3 linked regions of the Macaca fascicularis genome follow. The protein of the gene in region 3 interacts with the protein of the main gene of each other region in a pairwise test. Links are inferred from orthologs where the notes say so. Each region holds a gene or a part of one and is shown on either strand. Other genes may lie near its edges. The genes, in order: FXR2, SRRM4 and C1H1orf35.

Evidence for each region.
Region 1: the proteins of C1H1orf35 (region 3) and FXR2 interact in binary tests that used the Homo sapiens proteins (3 or more experiments, as listed by UniProt). The two-hybrid records come from large-scale screens. The link is inferred for Macaca fascicularis from reciprocal best matches to the Homo sapiens genes C1orf35 and FXR2.
Region 2: the proteins of C1H1orf35 (region 3) and SRRM4 interact in binary tests that used the Homo sapiens proteins (3 or more experiments, as listed by UniProt). The link is inferred for Macaca fascicularis from reciprocal best matches to the Homo sapiens genes C1orf35 and SRRM4.

The regions. Positions count from the first base shown.
Region 1 is NC_088390.1:7,649,335-7,655,653, forward strand, and holds part of FXR2 (RNA-binding protein FXR2), read right to left. Parts: intron 6,097-6,319; coding exon 6,025-6,096; intron 5,922-6,024; coding exon 5,773-5,921; intron 5,360-5,772; coding exon 5,266-5,359; intron 3,880-5,265; coding exon 3,763-3,879; intron 1-3,762. UniProt on the Homo sapiens protein: mRNA-binding protein that acts as a regulator of mRNAs translation and/or stability, and which is required for adult hippocampal neurogenesis. Specifically binds to AU-rich elements (AREs) in the 3'-UTR of target mRNAs.
Region 2 is NC_088385.1:126,142,965-126,149,283, reverse strand, and holds part of SRRM4 (serine/arginine repetitive matrix protein 4), read right to left. Parts: intron 2,903-6,319; coding exon 2,598-2,902; intron 1-2,597. UniProt on the Homo sapiens protein: Splicing factor specifically required for neural cell differentiation.
Region 3 is NC_088375.1:86,008,342-86,014,760, forward strand, and holds C1H1orf35 (multiple myeloma tumor-associated protein 2), read right to left. Parts: upstream 4,235-6,419; 5' UTR 4,136-4,234; coding exon 4,042-4,135; intron 3,962-4,041; coding exon 3,811-3,961; intron 3,601-3,810; coding exon 3,555-3,600; exon of another isoform or gene 3,473-3,554; coding exon 3,390-3,472; intron 3,305-3,389; coding exon 3,232-3,304; intron 3,088-3,231; coding exon 3,002-3,087; exon of another isoform or gene 2,702-3,001; intron 2,399-2,701; coding exon 2,264-2,398; intron 2,184-2,263; coding exon 2,063-2,183; 3' UTR 1,687-2,062; downstream 1-1,686.

The sequences.
Region 1 (6,319 bases), on a different chromosome or scaffold from region 3:
AGCCAAGATAGTGCCACTGCACTCCAGCCTGGGCGACAGAGACGCTATCTCAAAAAACAAACAAACAAAAAAAAAAACAACAAAAAAAGAAATATCCTTTTTTTTTTTTCTGAGATGCAGTTTACTCTTGTTGCCCAAGAGTAATCTCGGCTCACTGCAAGTTCCACCTCCTGGGTTCATGCCGCTCTGCTGCCTCAGCTCCCCAAGTAGCTGGGACTACAGGCGGCCGCCACCACGCCCGGCTAATTTTTGTTAGGCTAATTTTTGTATTTTTAGTAGAGATGGGGTTTCACCATGTTGGCCAGGCTGGTCTTGAACTCCCAGCCTCAGGTGATCCACCCTCCTCAGCCTCCCAAAGTGTCGCGATTAGAGGCGTGGGCCACCGCGCCCAGCCATATCTTTTTTTTTTTTGAGACAGAGTTTTACTCGTCCCCCAGGCTGGAGTGCAATGGCACAATCTTGGCTCACTGCAACCTCTACTTCCCAGATTCAAGCAATTCTCCTGCCTCAGTCTCATGAGTAGCTGAAATTACAGCCGTGTGCCACCACGCCCACCTGAATTTTGTCTTTTTAGTAAAGATGGGGTTTCACCATGTTGACCAGCCTGGTCTCAACTCCCAACCTCAGGTGGTCTGCCTGCGTCAGCCCCCCAAAGTACTGAAGTGCTGGGATTACAGGCGTGAGCCACTGCGCCCACCCTAAAAAAGAAATATACTAGTATAGGCTGGGTGTGGTGGCTCACACCTGTAATCCTAGCACTTTGGGAGGTACAGGCAAGTGGATCTCTTGAGTCTAGAAGTTCAAGACCAGGGCCGGGCACAGTGGCTCACGTCTGTAATCCCAGCACTTTGGGAGGCCAAGGCAGATGGATCATGAAGTTAGGAGTTTGAGACCGGCCTAGCCAACATAGTGAAACCCCGTCACTACTAAAAATACAAAAATTAGCCGGGTGTGGTGGCACACACCTGTAGTCCCAGCTACTTGGGAGGCTGAGGCAGGAGAATTGCTTGAACCCGGAAGGCGGACGTTGCAGTGAGCTGAGACCACGCCATTGCACTACAGCCTGGGTGACAAAGTGAGACTCCATCTCAAAAAAAAAAAAACCATTCAGCCCAGCATGGTGTCTCACGCCTGTAATCCCAACACTCTGGGAGGCCAAGGCAGGTGGATCACGAAGTCAGGAGATCGAGACCATCCTGGCTAACATGGTGAAACCCCGTCTCTACTAAAAAAACATACAAAAAAATTAGCCGGGCGTGGTGGCGGCCGCCTGTAGTCCCAGCTACTCGGGGAGCTGAGGCAGCAGAACGGCATGAACCCAGGAGATGGAGCTTGCACTCCATCTCCATCCAGCCGAGATCACGCCACTGCACTCCAGCCTGGGCAACAGAGCGAGACCCTGTCTCAAAAAAAAAAAAAAACACAAAAATACGTTCAAGACCAGCCTGGGCAATATGGCAAAACCACATCTCTATTAAAAATACAAAAAATTGGCCAGGCACAGTGGCTCACGCATGTAATCCCAGCACTTTGGGAGGTGGTAGATCACTTGAGGTCAGGAGTTCGAGCCTAGCCAACATAGTGAAACCCCAACTCTACTAAAAATACGAAAACTAGCTGGACATGGTGATGGGCTCCTATAATCCCAGCTACTCCGGCGACTGAGGAGGGAGAATTGCTTGAACCCAGGAGGCAGAGGTTGCAGTGAGCCGAGATCACGCCACTGCACTCCAGCCTGAGCGACACAGCAAGACTATGTTTCAAAAAAAAAAAAATTAGGCTGGGTACAGTGGCCCACGCCTGTAATCCCAGCACTTTGGGAGGCCGAGGCAGGTGGATCACCTGAGGTCAGGAGTTCAAGACCAGCCTGGCCAACATGGTGAAACCTCATCTCTACTAAAAATAAAAACATTAGCTGGGTGTGGTGGTAGGCGCCAGTAATCCCAGCTACTTGGGAGGCTGAGGCAGGAGAATTGCTACAATCTGGGAGGTGGAGGTTGCAGTGAGCCAAGACTGTATCACTCCATTCCAGCCTGTGCAACAGAGCAAGACTCCATCCAAAAAAAAAAAAAAAAGAAAATTAGTTGAGCATGGTGGCACACGCAAGTAATTCCAGCTACTGAGGAGGGTGAGGTAGGAGAAACACCAGAACCTGGGGAGTCAAGGCTGCAGTGAGCCATGTTACTCCAACTTGGGCAATGGGAGTGAGACCCTGTCTCAAAAAAGAAAAGAAAAAACGAGGCTGGGCGCAGTGGCTCATGCCTGCAATGCCAGCACTTTGGGAGACCGAGTTAGGCAGATCATCTGAGGTTAGGAGTTCGAGACCAGCCTGGTCAACATGGTGAAATCCTGTCTCCACTAAAAAACACAAAAATTAGCCAGGCGTGGTGGTACATGCCTGTAACCTCAGCTACTCAGGAGGCTGAGGCAGCAGAATGGCTTGAACCCAGGAGGTGGAGGTTGCAGTGAGCCGAAGTTGTGCCATTGCACTCCAGCCTGGGCAACAAGAGAGAAACTCCCTCTTGAAAAAAAAAACAAAAAAGAATAAAAGAAATGTTCTAGTTTACCTATTAAGTTGTGAGAATGAACAAATAGAAAAAATATTTTAAATATAAAATTTAAAAAAAGAAACACTCTAGCCTACCGACCTCACTGGCACAGATGAAGATAAATCTCAGCGTAATGAAATTATTTGCCAAAAGACAATTATTTGACAAGACTTAGCATTCCAAGTCCAGTGGTATGCCCAGTGTCCAAATGGTTCTCAAATATATCCTGCAAAGTCGTTTGGTTTCCACAGGTGATTTGGGGGTGTTGGTGGAGGTAAGAGCCATGTCCACTTTCCACTTTTAGACAGAGCTGCTCTGACTATTTTATGCATTGTGGTTCCAAGCAACATTTAACTTCATCAAAAAGGGTGCCATCGGCTAGGTGTGGTGGCTCACGCCTGTAATCCCAGCACTTTGGGAGGCCGAGATGGGTGGATCACATGAGGTCAGGAGTTCGAGACCAGCTTGGGCAACATGGCAAAATCCCATCTCCACTAATACAAAACTGAGCCGGGTGTGGTGGCGCATGCCTGTAATCCCAGCTACTCAGAAGGGTGAGGCATGAGAATTGCTTAAACACAGGAGGTGGGGGTTGCAGTGAGCCGAGATCATGTCACTGCACTCCAGCCTAGGTGACAGAGCGAGACTGTCTCGAAAAAATTTAAAACAAATTGGTTAAAAGAAATCTGAAAATAATTGTACTATACCATGATAGAGCTCTGTCATCTGGAGGAGTCTGAGATAAAATAATAGCTGAACCAGGTTTTTTTTTTGTTTTTTTTTTTTTTTTTTTTTTTTTTTGAGACGGAGTCTCGCTCTGTCACCCAGGCTGGAGTGCAGTGGCCGGATCTCAGCTCACTGCAAGCTCCGCCTCCCGGGTTCACGCCATTCTCCTGCCTCAGCCTCCCGAGTAGTTGGGACTACAGGCGCCCGCCACCGCGCCCGGCTAGTTTTTTGTATTTTTTAGTAGAGACGGGGTTTCACCGTATTAGCCAGGATGGTCTCGATCTCCTGACCTCGTGATCCGCCCGTCTCGGCCTCCCAAAGTGCTGGGATTACAGGCTTGAGCCACCGCGCCCGGCCCTGAACCAGGTTTAACTGCCCAGAAAAAGCCTTAGTCTTTGTTCTGTAAATGCAAGAGCATGGATGGAGGACAGGGTAGGAAGGGAGGAAGACAGTATCTTCAGCAGGAGGAAAAGGAGCTAAAAGTTACCTCTAGGTGCTTGGTAGCTTCTTCATTTCGGGACATAAGTAGCAGTTTGGTGCGCAGGCTTCGGAAATGCATATCACCCAGCAGAGATGCTCGCTTCACAGGGGCTTCTGTGGTTGACTGTGAGGAAACCGGTGGGAAAGTCATTAAAACTGGCTTGGAATAAACACTGAGGGAGAGCCAGGGACTAGAAATCAGGATGCCTAAATCTCGGGAAAAGGGTTGAGAAATGAAGCTAGCAGGCTGGGCGCAGTGGCTCATGCCTGTAATCCCAGCACTTTGGGAGGCCGAGGCAGGAGGATCACGAGGTCAGGAGTTCGAGACCAGACTGGCCAAGAGGGTGAGACCCTGTATCTACTAAAAATACAAAAATTAGCCAGGCGTGGTGGTGCACGCCTATAATTCCAGCTACTCCAGAGGCTGAGGCAGTAGAATCGCTTGAACCCAGGAGTCGGAGGTTGCAGTGAGTCGAGACTGTGCCACTGCATTCTAGCCTGGTGACAGAGCAATACACCATCTCCAAAAAAAAAAAGAAATGACGCTAGGAAGGAGGAGACTCACTGTCAGTCCCACAAAGGCTGACTATCCGGGTACTGAAGGACAATGGTTTAGAGAGAAAGCAAAGAGCAAGCATAAGGTGAGAGCTACATACTCTATTTCTGAAAGTCCAAGTATCAAGAGAGGGTCTCCAACCCAGATGGCAACATGATTATCGGGTTTAAAAAAAAAAGGTCAGAGGCCGCGCATGGTAGCTCATGCCTGTAATCCCAGAACTTTGAGAGGCTGAGGTGGGTGGATCATGAGGTCAGGAGTTCAAGACCAGCCTGACCAATATGGTGAAACCTTGTTTCTACTAAAAATACAAAAATTAGCTGGGCATGTTGGGTGCGGTAGCTTATGCCTGTAATCCAAGAACTTGGGAGGCCGAGACGGGTGGATCACAAGATCAGGAGTTCAAGACCAGCCTGGCCAAGATGGTGAAACCCTGTCTCTACTAAAAATACAAAAAAAAAATTAGCCAGACGAGGTGGCAGGTGCCTGTAATTCCAGCTACTCAGGAGGCTGAGGCAGGAGAATTGCTTCAACTTGGAGGGCGGAGGTTGCAGTGAGCCAAGATCACACCTTTGCACTCCAGCCTGGGCGACAGAGTGAGATTCCACCTCAAAAAAAAAAAAAAATTAGCCAGGCGTGGTGACGCACACCTGTAATCCCAGCTACTCGGGAGACTGAGGCAGGAGAATTGCTTGAACCCTGGAGGTGGAGGTTGCAGTGAGCCGAGATTGTGCCATTGTTCTCCAGCCTGGGCAACAAGAGTGAGACTCCGTCTCAAAAAAAAGAAAAAAAAAGGTGGACTACCTGGGCCTGTAGGAGTCAGAAGCAACACAGTCCTCTCTGACGAATAAATATAAGCACATTTAAGCCCTTTCCTTTCTGCAAAGGGGTTAAAAGGGGAAAAAGAAAAAATGTTCAAAGGGCTTATGTGAAATTCAGGCAGAATAAACTCACCAGAATGAAGAGTTCACTGTTTGTGATGTTGAGAAAGATGCAGTTGGCTCCCAGCGCTTTCTTGAACTCTTTATGGACGTTTTCATTGGAGCAGCTGCAGAGGAAAAAAGTACTCAGAGGGCAGAATACAGAGAGTACAGTGAAGAGCTCTGGGGAGGCCAGGCATGGTGGTTTGCACCTGTAATCCTAGCACTCTGGGAGGCTAGGGCAAGATGATCACTTGAGGTCAGGAGTTCAAGATTAGCATGGGCAACATAGTGAGACCCTGTCTCTATTTAAAAAAAAAAAAATCAGAGGAGCAGGGCTGAGTGCATAAGAAAATAAGAGGGACCACAGTTAAAGAACAAGGATGGGAAAATAAACAGAGTGTCTTCTTAGCAAGAAGGGCTCTAGAGGGCCAGGGGAACAACAGAGAAAACTGCAAAGTGGGAGTGATGCCTGGAAGAAATAAAGCCAGAGATTAGGGCTGTAAAGAGGGCCCTCATTCCCACCATCCTTAACACTCACGCTTCTCTCAGATCCTCGGGCACAGCCATGGTAACCTTGAAGAAGCTGCCTTTGGTTGCAAGGGGATTGGGATTAACTGGCCGAAGTCGCTCCAGGGTAACAATTTCATTGTAGGTGGCATCACAGGCAGCATATTCAATAACATAGAACTGGCATATGGTAAAAAAGGAGAAGTTGTGGATGACCTGAGCAACTTTCTAAGAATAAAATATTTGTTTCAGTAGTTCTCCAAAGGCATTCCCAGTCACTCACATCTCCCTTCATCATCCGCACCCGGGCCAGCCACCAGCCACAAGGTTCCTGTTCATTGGCTCGAGAATAAACCTAAAGAAAAGTAGAGAATCAAAGAGATATTGAAGACCACCCAAAAGTATCAAGAAAGGGATGAGGAGGCCAGGCATGGTGGGGCTCACACCTGTAATCTCAGTGCTTTGGGAGGCTGAGGCAAAAGGAATGCTTATGCCCAGGAGTTCAAGACCAGCTTAGGCAACATAAACAATAGAATAACCATTAAGATATTTGGGGCTACTGGGCACAGTGGCTCACG
Region 2 (6,319 bases), on a different chromosome or scaffold from region 3:
GAGGAGCTGAGGAAGATTATTTCTGGAAAGCATTTGGTAGTGTACCTAGCATGTGATTTGGGCTCCATGAATATGAACTGCCGTTATTATTGTCGTTGTTACTGCTATTTCAACTTTTCCTGCATAATAGCACTGCAGTATATCAGTAAACATGTGTCCTCCTCCTCCCTTCTGGGAACTTCACTGCCTGTTCTTGGAGACACTGATATTCGCCCTGGCCCAGCTCAGGTTCTCAGCCAAGCATGGGTGTGGGCTGAGGCCAGGGATGACCTGGGGCAGGCAAAAGGGAAGACTGTTCTGCATGTGAATGTCAAGCTGTTTGTCCAGGACTGAAGTGGGGTATGTGTTAGGGACAAAGAGTACTCTGTCTTTGAAGAAGCTGTTAGCTGCTTCAGTGCTAAGGCTTTAGTGATCTTTTGAAAATCTTGGCTACATGGAACAAAGGCAAACTCCCACCCTCAGAAGTAGAAAAACCTCACCGTTAACATGACAGAGGGCATCAGCAAAGCTTTTCCACCCATCCTGCACCTGTGCATCTGCCCCATGAATTATAAGCTCCTGAGAAAAAGGAGACTGTTCCATTTTATATCCCCAGCACCAGGCTGAGTGTCTGGTAGAGAAGACTTGCCTGATAAACAAGTTGAGGAATAAATAACAGAATGAATGGTACAGACTAAGTGATCAGTAAATTGTAGTAGCTATTATGATGACAGTACCCTCAGTAATTAGCATTTTGTTGTGATTTCTTGAGTGAGAGAGTAAGCGGGTGACGAAGTAGAATTACAACTGGCTCATATGCAACTGTATGGAAGAGTTTTCTGCAGGAAAACTGTATCTAGTGAGTGTGTTAAGATGGGTAAAAAAATGGAGAAGTCTCAATGTTCTCTGATATGTTGATAAATTATACTATGGTATATCTGTATCTACAATTAATAAACTTTATTTTTTAGAGCAGTTTTAGTTTCATAGCACAATTGAATGGAAAGCACAGGGAGCTCCCATACATTTCTTGCTGCTACACACGCACAGCCTTATTCCCCACTATCTGTATCCTCCACCAACGTGCTCCATTTGCTACAATCGATGAACCTCCGCTGACACATCATTATCACCCAGAGTCTATAGTTCACATCAGAGTACCCTGTTGGTGTTATACATTCTATGGATTTGGACAAATGTATAATGACAGTTATCCACCATTGTAGTATCACACAGAGTAGTTCCACTGCCCTAAAAATCCTCTGTGCTCTGCCTATTCATCCCTCCCTCCCCTCACCCTCTGGCAACCACTGATCTTTTTACTTTCTCCATAGTTTTGCCTTTTCGAGAATGTCATACAGTTGGAGCCATGCAGTGTGCCACCTTTTCACATTGGCTTCTTTCACTTAGTAATATGCATTTACGTTTCCTCCATGTCTTTTCATAGCGTGGTACCTCATATCTTCCGAGCACTGAATAGCATTCCATTGTCTGGACATATCACAATTTATGTATTCACTCACCGACTGAAGGATATCCTGGTTGCTTCCAAGTTTTAGCAATTACGAATAAAGCTGTTGTAACATCCAAGTGCAGGTTTTTATGTGGAGATAAGTTTTCAATTCATTTGGGTAAATACGGTGATATGTTCTTAAATGACAGTGACTTACAGTGAATTTAATGTTAGACTTTCTTTCTTTCTTTTTTTCTTTTGAGATGGAGTTTCACTCTTGTTGCCCAGGCTGGAGTGCAACGGTACAATCTCGGCTCACTGCCACCTCCGCCTCCAGGGTTCAAGCAATTCTCCTGCCTCAGCCTCCCTAGTAGCTGGGATTACAGGCATGCGCCATCACACCCGGCTAATTTTGTATTTTTAATAGAGACGGGGTTTCTCCATGTTGGTCACGCTGGTCTCGAACTCCCGACCTCAGGTGATCCGCCCGCCTCAGCCTCCCAAAGTGCTGGGATTACAGGCGCGAGCCACCACACCCTGCCAATGTTAGACTTTCTTCTAAGATTATTAGTAAAATTGTCATCTGCTTTTCTGCCTGCCTAGCCTCCATCTCTTCTGATACCAATAACCTGGCTTTTCCTATAGAGGAATGTGGGAAGGTTCTACTCATTAGCCCTAGTGATGGCATGTGACACATTCTGGCCAAGAGCATATCATCCCCTGGGACAGTGATGGACAGATGACCTAAGCTGGGCCAAACAGAACCAATGAGCACCTGCCCTGGTGTTTTGCCGAAATCTTTGAGAAAGAAGCACTGTTCTCCTGTTGGCTGGCTAAACCGATAGAATGTTAGCTACTTGGCATATTTGACAATGTTTTGGGAGGATCTGCTTGAGAATAAGGCCAGTAGAATGAGGAAGCAGAATAAGAGATGTAATGAGAAAGACAGATTTCCAGCAACATATTTTTGAGCCCCTGAATCCAGCTGTACCTGAAGCTAGTGCCACTAGCGTTTTAAAACAATTAAGCCAGTGTGAGTTAAGTTTTCTCTCTGTTACAAATAAAAGAATCTTGGGGGTGGAGTGGGGGAGGCTGGGATGAGAGCATGAGAAGGTGGAGCTAAGGTGGGAGACTCTCTATCCCCCACCCCGTGCAGTGCACTGACCTTGACTCTCTGCCCCTGCTGGTTGGGGAGAGATTCTCCAACATGGCCCCCTTGTTCTGGGGTGAGGAGGTGGTGAAGGAGTTCCCTGAATCAGAGGTGTTGCCACTGTTGAGCTCCCGGCTCTTGCTCAAACCCCCGCTGGGGCTCCCCTTCTCCTGGCCCCGAGACCGGGCTGAGCTGGTTTGCGTGGAGGGTGGTGAGGACGTGTCATTGCCTGAGTCGTACTCCTGGGAACGTCCTCGCGAGGTGGTGAGCGGGCTGGCTGTTTTGGTAAAGAGGTCAGCAGCAGACCCCGACCCAGTGATCTGAAAGCAAAAAGACCCGTTGGACACTGCTGAGCGCTGGGCCCATGGGCTGTGTCTAAATAACCAAGAAATGTTTACCGTCATGATGCACTGTAACGAAAGGAAAGAGAGAGAGAGGAGAAGAAAGAAGAGACGCCAAAAAACAAAAGCACAAATTCCTGAAAGAATACCACAGAAAGGAGATTTTTTTTTTTTTTTTACCCCCTGCTAGGATAACTGGAAGATTTAGGTATCATGCAGAGAAAAAGCATGCGATTCAGGTTAAACAAAAGAAAAAGGAAATTATACAAAATTTAATTTCTAATGAATTAAACAAAAGAGTCAACTCAATAGAAAGGGGGTGTAAACACCCTTAACTCAACCTAAAACAATAATAAAAAATAAAGGAAAGGGAAGGGGAAAAAGAAATGGAACTATGGGCCTGAAAAAATATATCTTGGAAATCAAAAATAAAAGCAGGTAAAGCCAAAATTTTAAACTTCAACCAAATCCTCAATTAATTTAACAATTTTTGGTTTTGAAAAGAAAAAGTTGCCTGAATAGAACCCTAAACAAATATCACATGGGGAAAAGAAATGAAATAAAGATGAGAGTTTGTTTTTGTTTTTTTAAATATAAAGTCAAGGTCGCAAACTGACATTTTAGCAGTTTTCAACTAAAGGGGAAAAGAAAGGAGGGGACAAAAAAAAAAATGGAAGTCAAATAGTCTGACCAAAAATAAATGAAAAAAAGGGTCTCTATAGATATTTGTGTGTGTCCTTTTCCCCTTGTAGAAGGTAGCTAAGGTTCTTGAGTGGCTTCTAATAAATTCTCTCATGTCTTTGCGGATTATATCCACTTACCAAGCAAGAACTCCTCCTTTAGTAGGTAGGTAAGGTGTAAGAGAAAGGGAAGAGCGGGCAACGTGAGTCCATCATTAGAGTCGCAATTGACAAGAAAAAACACACACCTTTCTGCACATCCTCAAACTTGGCCCTGAACTTTGAGTTTTGGTTTTTTCAGTGCCCTTGACAGGTGGGGGCATCAATTCTGTTTGGTTTTGTCATAAAGGGGACCTAACCTAGCCAACCTAATCAATCCCTTAGGGCCCAAGTTGGAGCAGGAAACCCTTGTGGAATATGCCAATGGCAGCTAGAGTATGGCATCTACTACCTAGGTGTGAATGTCGAGGGGGCACGAGGGAGGGAGGATGCGAAACAGAGGGCTTTGGAACGGGCTTGGAGATTGGGCTTTGGGGTGACTGGGAATAAAGAGGGGCCCCCAGAACCCTGTCTAGGGCTGATCTAGGACCAATGAAGGAGTAAAGGAGGCGATGGAAAGCCAGCACTTGGGAAGGTGAGCACACTTTTAGAAGCAGGATGGTGGTGGGGCGGGGGGGGAAGGGGCGGTTTCTTTAAATATTCAGTCCTGTTGTGGCTGGGATGACACAGTAAGTTTGATGCTGGCCTCTGCCAGCAGTACCACGCTCAGCTGTGGATGGGAGGGATCCCTGCCCTGGGCCTCCTCCAGAGATAACCATCCCTATGGGATGAGAAATCTGGGGAACCAAGAAGGCACCCCCTTAAGACTACTGCCTGCCTCAACCACTCTCTGGATATCTGAGATCCCAGAATTCTCTGTTTAAATGACTCCTATGCCCCTTTCCAGGTCTCTGTAGGCCTCATCCATGGATCCATTCTCCTGCAGGGAGAGCATGCTTCAAGTGTCCACACTCCTAGGTCCAAGGGTAGCTATTTGGACAGAACTTGGATGTTCAGGCTGAGGGGTCTATATGCATGTGTGTAAGCCCCATCATGGTGCTGGATGTGCCAGATTCAGGGAGAGAAAGGGATAGTTCCGGGGCCAGATTCTCCCCCAACTGCTATGTCACATCCTGGCACTCTGAAATGGTCCAAGATTCTAAAATCATAACTAACTTTCCGATCATTTTGAAGGTATGTTTACCAAGATAACAGAACATATTTTATTAAGTTTGCTGACTTATTTATGACCATTTAGACATCTAATATACGGATCTTCTTCTATAACTTTGCTCTGACGTCACAAATGTTAGGGCAGGCTTCACCATAAAGAGCCTACTCTTTCTCCCAACTTTATCTTGTGCATCTTGGCCCTAAAGGAGGGGGCGCTTCTGGAATTTCTTAAGAACCATTTCTGCCTTCTCAGCAATTGGTCATGTGGGTGAAACACAGACACAGTGGAACTGTGAGACTAGCATAACTCCAGCGCTCAGGGTGTCAGCTCTTGGGGCCGGGGAAGCAGGGATTCCTTTGTAGATTCTCCCAGGAGGCTTTGCACACAGGCAAGGTGATAGTCTAGCTTTAGCAAGTTCTGTCCACCACAGCTGCCATTTTACCTGCATGGCACCTTGGATAGCTTTGCTTTGGGAAAAGGGACCTCAAAATAAGTTTGCTCTGGTGGAGTCTTTTAGAGTGAGACTTTTAAAACAACAATGTAAAGGCCCTGTTCCCATTCAGTCCTCCTATTTATTTGTCTTCTTGTTTTGCGTTTTGGATGCCACATCTTTCTCAACTCTGGAGTTCAGTGGTAATACATGTATCTCCACCACCCCTGTCAGGAATGTATCATGCCAGACAACTAGACCCTGAGATCTGTGATCTCTGGCTTGGGCTTGGTACAAGAATGGGATCATGGAATCTTTGCCCCAGAGATGGTGAATGGTTGGTAGCCAGGGTGTTACAAGTGAATCCAGCAAGCCCGTCTTGGAGGGAGCTAGGCTGGAAGAACTCAAGGACAGGGGCCTGTGAGTACAATAATTTTCATTATCTTGTGGTTTGCTACCTGGAGGCTGCCAGGCTGGGCCTTTCTCTCCCAGGTACTTGTTCCTAGTCTTGACTACGAATTTCATTTTTCCTGGTGCACCATGGATCCCCGTAGGCAAGGATTTCTTGAATGTGAGGCCCCTCCAGGCTAGTGGATATAGAAGGGGATCTGGCCTTGTTCATCTTCTCAACCCCATGCCCTGAGCTCACAGGGATACTTTCAGAGTATTACCACCTGTCTGTGACTTATCTACATGTAACTTGTGTGGTCAGAACTGATAAATCTACAAGGCATCATACTTTTCCATCATCACCAGAAAACAGGGATAAAGGCACTATTGAAATGTTCTCATTGGGTTAAATTTGGTGCCTGCAAATACCAACTTCTCCTGCATGTTTAAAAGTCCCATTTCTTCGAATGGATCTAAACTCTTTGACATGGATGAGAGTGTTTTTTATACCCCAGCCCTGCCTACTTCACAAATAGCATCTCTTCCACACCATCCCACCCCAGCCCCATAACCTAAGCTGACTGATTCAGATTTGAGTTTTCTTGGTTCTGCCATCCCATCTTGTTCTAACCCCAGGCCATGTGCACTTGCCATTTCCTCTGCCTAGAATACTCCTCTCTTCC
Region 3 (6,419 bases):
GAAAAAGACAACCTCTACTTTTTTCTTTTGTATTTTGATAAACACTGAAGAAGCTGGAGCTGTTAAATTTATCTTGGGGAAACCTCAGAACTGGTCTATTTGGTGTCGTGGAACCTCTTACTGCTTTCAATACACGATTAGTAATCAACTGTTTTGTATACTTGTTTTCAGTTTTCATTTCGACAAACAAGCACTGTAATTATAGCTATTAGAATAAAATCTCTTAACTATTTCGCCGGCTCTCCAGTGCTTCCACGTAGGCATACTGCCCCCAGGAGATGGTGGATCAGCCAGCTTTAGGAAGTGCAGGTGACTGCCTAGGGCCACCACCTGAGTCCACACCCTCTCCATGTCCCCTCCTGAGTGTGTGGGCACTTCTCTGTGTCTGTGTGAGAGGCTCTTCCAGCATGGTTAGCCACACTGACCTTGGTCTCTGTTCGCAGTCCTGTTGGGCCCAGCCAGTGAGAACTGGGCCACACAGGGCAGGGGTCAGCAGGCACCATGGAAGACCTCAGCCTCCATCCCTCCCTCGGCCTGCTGCTGAACCCGCTTTGTGTAACTGGCTATGGGGCAGGTCTACCGCTAGCATACATAGTGCTTTGTGCCAACCGGGGAATGGTTCCTGAGTGGATACAGCCCCCAACTCTCCTCAAGATGCCATGCAGCGGGGAGCTGCCAGTCTGGGGGTACCTGTTTGTGGGATGTGGCCATCAGCAGGTCTAAGGTCTGCCTTCTGTTGGGCAGAGTCCCGACAACCTTCATCCCCCTTGACAGCACCCAAAACAGCAGTCTCCACTCCAGTAGCCACGTGAGGGTGAGGGCAGAGGTCAAAGCCACATTAGCCACACCTTGGCCAGGGCCCTGAGGAAGGTCTGCTTAACTTCCTTTGAAGTCAGAAATCGGCCAGGCGAGGGAGCTCATGCCTCTGATCCCAAAACTGCAATGCTGCAGTGAACTATGATGCAGCCCAGGTGCCATCTTTATGCCATGCAGTCTGGTGGCCACACACATCCTGAACAGCCCTGATCCTTCTTAGGGCCAGGCAGAGGGGACACCCACCCCATTGGCCCGGGAGAAGCAGACCTGGGGGTTGGGGCAGCAGGCAGTTGGTGGAGTCCCCCAACCCCCACACCCAATTGAGGCTGTGCCTCCACAGACTATAGGGCTCTCTGCCCCAGGTTCCCACATTGCCAGCTGAGCACCCGCTTCCATGGCCTCGGCCCTCGCTGGGTTTTGGTGGGGCTCTGGGCACACACGGGAGGACTACATTCCCCCAGGACATTGAGAATCAGATGGACGCCGTGGCTCACGCCTGTAATCCCAGCACTTCGGGAGGCCAAGGCGGGTGGATCATCTGAGGTCAGGAGTTCGAGACCCAGCCTGGCCAACACAGTGAAACCTCGTCTCTACTAAAAAATACCAAAAATTAGCTGGGAGTAGTGGCAGGCGCCTGTAATTCCAGCTACTCAGGAGGTTGACAGGAGAATCGCTTGAACCTGGGAGGCAGAGGTTGCAGTGAGCTGAGATAGTGCCATTACACTCCAGCCTGGGAAACAAAAGCGAAACTAAAAAAAAAAAAAAAAAATCACCAGGCCTCAGACTCCTGGAAGACAGACCCCAGCTCCAACCTCCCAGTGGGATCTCATTTAACTCTTGACACTGACCTTCCAATTAGGATGATACACCTTCCTTTTAAAATATATTTATTGAAATACAAAGAGTCAATGTAAGGAAAAATAGAGGTCACCATACTTGGCCACAGTTAGACCGCTCATAGGCCCATGGCTGCTGTCTCTACTGGCAGAGGGAGTCCAGCTTCTACTGGTACCTCTGGGCAGGTTCACCTTCACAGGGCAAGCCAGGGACCATCCCCGCTATGTGAAACCTGGAGGTTTTCCAGAGCTAGCTGTCTAGCCATTAGCCCCACAGGCTGGTGCCCAGAGCCACTTCCACAGGAGCAGCCCCGGGCTTCACCCACACACGAGGGGCTTCCGAGGCAGGAGGCAAGCAAGGCAAAGGGAGAGTTCAGGGTCCCACAATAGCAGTGAGCAGGGTCCAGCCATCAGGCCTCAGAGCCTCTGTCATGCCACCTGCGAGACGGACTTCTCCTGTCCCCACTGTGTCCCCGCTTCCTCCTCTTACAACAGGGGGAGTTGGAATAGGAGTCGTGGTGGTGCCTGGGCCTGGGGAGACCAAGGGCAGTCACTCAGAAGGAGTCAACCAGGCTCCCACCCACAAGAGGCAGACATAGACCAGGGCATACCTCTCGGGAGATGTGGGAGAGGAGGCAGCCTCAGCTGGCTGCCTGTGCTCTTTGTCTTTCTTCTTCTTCTCTTTCTTGTGTTTCTTCTTTTTCTTTTTCTTCTTCTCCTTCTTGCTTTTCCTGTGGCTCTCAGAGCTACAAGGAGGATACAAGGCGCACCTCAGACCCTAGTCTTGCAGGCCAAGAGAGTGAACACAGACCCCAACCAGGAGATGAAGCCACCACCCACAAGTGCGTCTTTAAATCAGTTAAATCAGACTACCAATTCCACTCCTCAGTAATGCAGTCACGTGGCCAGTGGCTGCCCTGGGTTAGAAACTGATGCGATATCCCTATCTCCACAGCACGGCCCTGTTACACCCCAGCTGTGCCCTTGACAGGTTGACACCTTCCTACTTGCACCCACCAGGCCACTCTTGGGGTCAGGCCCAGGCTCACCACCCAAGAGAAGCCCTGGAGGTGCCACCCATGGAAGGAAAAGGCCCCGCCGCAGGTCCTGAGCGCCCTCCCACGGCGCAGCCCGCGACCACTGCCAGTACTTAGGACCTCTCTTCAAGGGTGACCCGAGAAACTCCCCTAGAGAAAAACCTAGGAGTAAGTGGGACAGGAAGTAAAGTAGGGCAGGCCACCGGCCGGGCCGGTGCGCCAAGAGAAGCTGCCACCTGCCGGAGCGGGAGCCGCTGAGGTCCTCCCGAGACCCCCTCCGGCGCGCAGCTCGCCCAGTAGGTGCAGCCTCACCTGCTTTCCGTCTGATCCTCCGCCCGCGGCTTCCTCCTGGCCGAGGTTGCCGAGGTCCCGGGCCCGCCGCTCTCTACGCGGTGATGCTGCGGGAGAATCGCGCTCTGGGGAAGAGTCTGAGGGCCGGCCCCACACCACGCCCCGCAGTGCCCCGGGGAGCTACGTTCAGTGCCCCCGCCCTGCGCCACCCCTGTTGGCCCCTGTTGCGGTCAGGCGGGGCGGGGAATTACCGTGAACACAGACAGCCCCAGTTTGGCGGCTTCCTTGTCCTCTCGGGACATCGCCACGCGGCCCACGGAGCCACTGCAGGAACACGGCGATGAAGACAGTCCGTCAAGGGCCCGCCTCACCCGAGCAATTCTGCCCTCCCCTGGAAACCTGCTCGCACCTGGCGCTCCCCAGCCCCAGCAGCCGGTCCACGCCCTTCTCCTCGGGGTCGCCTCCTTCCCGCTTGCAGACCTCCGCGAAATCCTGCAGGTGCGGGAGCACAGGCAGCGTTCCGGACGGCCCCACACCCACGGCCCTCCACGTGCCCCCCACTCCAGGGAGTTACCTCCTTGCTCAGGCCCGTGGGCTGCTTCTTCACGTTCTTGTAGCCACTGCGAGAGGACCAGAGCAGGCGTCAGGACGGACAGACCTCCTCCCACCACGGGTCCTCACCACTCCAGCCTTCATCCTGAGGGTCCCACCCGCGCAAGTCCCCGCAGCCCCGCCCCCGCCCAGCCCGACCCCCAGCCCCCGCCCCTGGCCCCACCCTGCCCCGGCAGCGAAGTCCCAAGCACCGACCGCTGATGTCCGCGGACACTCACAGGGCGGCCAGCAGCGCCTCCCGCTCCGCCTCCCGCACTGCTGCCAGTTCCTCCTCGCGGCTCGGGCCCGCGCACGGCGCCCGGCCCTTGGCGTACCAGGTGAGGTCGCGGCCCTTCTGCCAGCGGCCTACGGGCGCCATCAGCGAGTTGCCTGCGGACGTAGGCGCCGTGAGCCCAGCGCCCCCCGGGAGGCCGCCCGCCGCGCCCACCGCGCCCACCGCGCCCACGGACCCAGGTAGTTCTCCCGCTGCTTGTCAGTCTTCACGTCCTCCCAGTTGAACTGGTCCTGCCCGCCGCGCACGCCTCCGCGACTGGAACCGAACATGGCGCCCGGGAGGCAGTTGCCTGGGGCCTGCGGCCTGCGACCCGCAACCCCGGACCCTCTGTACCCACTACCGTAGGACCCAGGCCCGACCCCGCCTTCGCGTCGCGCGCCGTGACGTCACCCGGCGCCCACCCGGCTTCGCCCCGCGCGCCTGCGCAGCGCACCGCCCCGGCTCTGTGCTCCCGCGCGTCACCTTCAAGCAGGCTTTGGGCGCCTGCGCACTGCGCCTATCCTGCCCAGCGCGGGAACGCCTCTGAACTGTACGTTTAAAAATGGTTAAAACCGGCCTGGGCGCTGTGGCTCCCGCAGCACTTTGGGAGGCCCAGGCAGGCGGATCGCTTGAGGTCGGGAATTCCAGACTAGCCTAGCCAACATGGTGAAACCCCGTCTCTACTAAAATACAAAAATTAGCCGGGTGTGGTGGTGCACACTTGTAATCCCAGCTACCCAGGAGGCTGAGGCAGGAGAATTACTTGAACCGGGAGGCGGGGTTGCAGTGAGCCGAGATCGCGCCACTGCACTCCAGCCTGGGCGACAGAGCGAGACTCTGTCTCAAAAAAAAAAAAAAAAAAAAAAGTTAAAATGGGCCAGGCGCGCGCTTGCTTGCGCGCCTGTAGTCCAACGCTTTGAGGCTGAGGCGGGAGGATCTCTTGAGCCCAGGAGATCGCGCCACTGCGCTCCAACCTGAGCGAGTGAACGAGACCCTGTCTCATAAAAAAAGAAAACACACAGGATGCGCCTAGCTAACACCGCCAATTGGTCACTGCCAGCCGCGATTCCATATGGGGAGCTTAACAAGGTAATGCCCTAATGATTTGTGGAATTTCTGAGTATTACCCAGTAAACTTCTGGATGAACCAGCAGCTACCCAGACACCCTCAGAGCACTGGTCCCATCCTTGCTGTGGTAAACTGAATGTGCACCCTAACTCCCACGTGAAATCCCCAACCCAAGGCGTTGGTGCTTCGGAGGTGACTAGGTCATGACGACAGAGCCTTCATAAAAGAGACCCGAGAGCTTTGTGCAGCTTTCCACTGTGCGAAGGCAGCGGGAAGTCTGTAGTCTGGAAGAGACCCCTTCCCAGAACCTCAGCATGATGGGCACCCTGATTTTGGAGGTTGTGGCATCCCCCTGCTTCACCTTTCCACTTTCATTCCCAGTGGTGACCAAGAAACAGAGTCCCTTAGCCGCTCTGTGACCTCGCCAACGGTATAATTTCGTCTGCAGACTTGAACCTGAGCCATAGCCATGAACGTTCCCAGGCACAGATGACAGCATCTAGGTTGTTGCTCAAAACACAGAAAGAAACTGGACCCAGCCTGAGCCAGATTCCTTAAACCCTCATATAAACTCCATTCGACAACCCCCTCCCCATGGACATACCTAGAGAGAACATTCATTTCTCTCACCACCCGTTGCAAGAACTGCTGCAGCCCACTCTGTACAAAAGCCCTGCTAATAAATGCTCTGGGCGCATTACCCTGGCATGCTCAATCTTTCTGTAGAATCCTAACCAGCCCCATCTCAGCATGGTGTGGGGCACTCCCTTGTGGGAACTCTACTGCCACCACTTTTGGGGCAATTCCAGCCACAGGTTGAACTGGATGAAACACAGGTCTAGTGTCCAGAACTGTGGGAAATTTCTGTTTCTTAGTGACCCAGTCCATGGGTCAGGCTGTTAGAGCAGCCTGGCAGACAGCCCATCTGGCTCATCTATCTACTTAGCAAGTACCGGCTGCCATCTCCCTCATGAGGTGCTGTGTGAGCTTGCATCATGGAGCAGGTGCATGGCAAGGGCAGAGCAGCAGGCCACAGCCTGGCACACAGAAGGTGACTGGCCCACTCCTGGGAAGGCTTCCTTGGGTGTAGGGCATCAACTCCTGGGTGCAATTGCGGCTTGCCAGGCCAGGGTGGACTTCGGCCATGTGGGCAGGGCCCGGCTGTGGAGTGTGACCACTGACTGGATATCAGGTGTGGTGGAGAGGGGATAGCAGGGCCAGGTGGACGTTGGGAAAGAGTCCAGGACGGCTCTGAGGCTCTGGTCTGGGCAACTGTGAGGATGAAGCAGCCACCTGTCAACAAGAGGACCAGGTTTCTGGGGAAGACCTGGTCAGTTTTGGGCCCATTAGCCTGACAAGCCATAGGCCACAGGAGGAGGGGTCACCGCGGTGGAGGTTGCATGGCCTGTGCCTGCTGGGTGGAGTCCCAGCTGGGGGCACTGATCACAGTGGTGTCCTCTGTGACAGCAGCAAAGCTGGACCCAGGAGGGTGGAGGTGAGGGAGT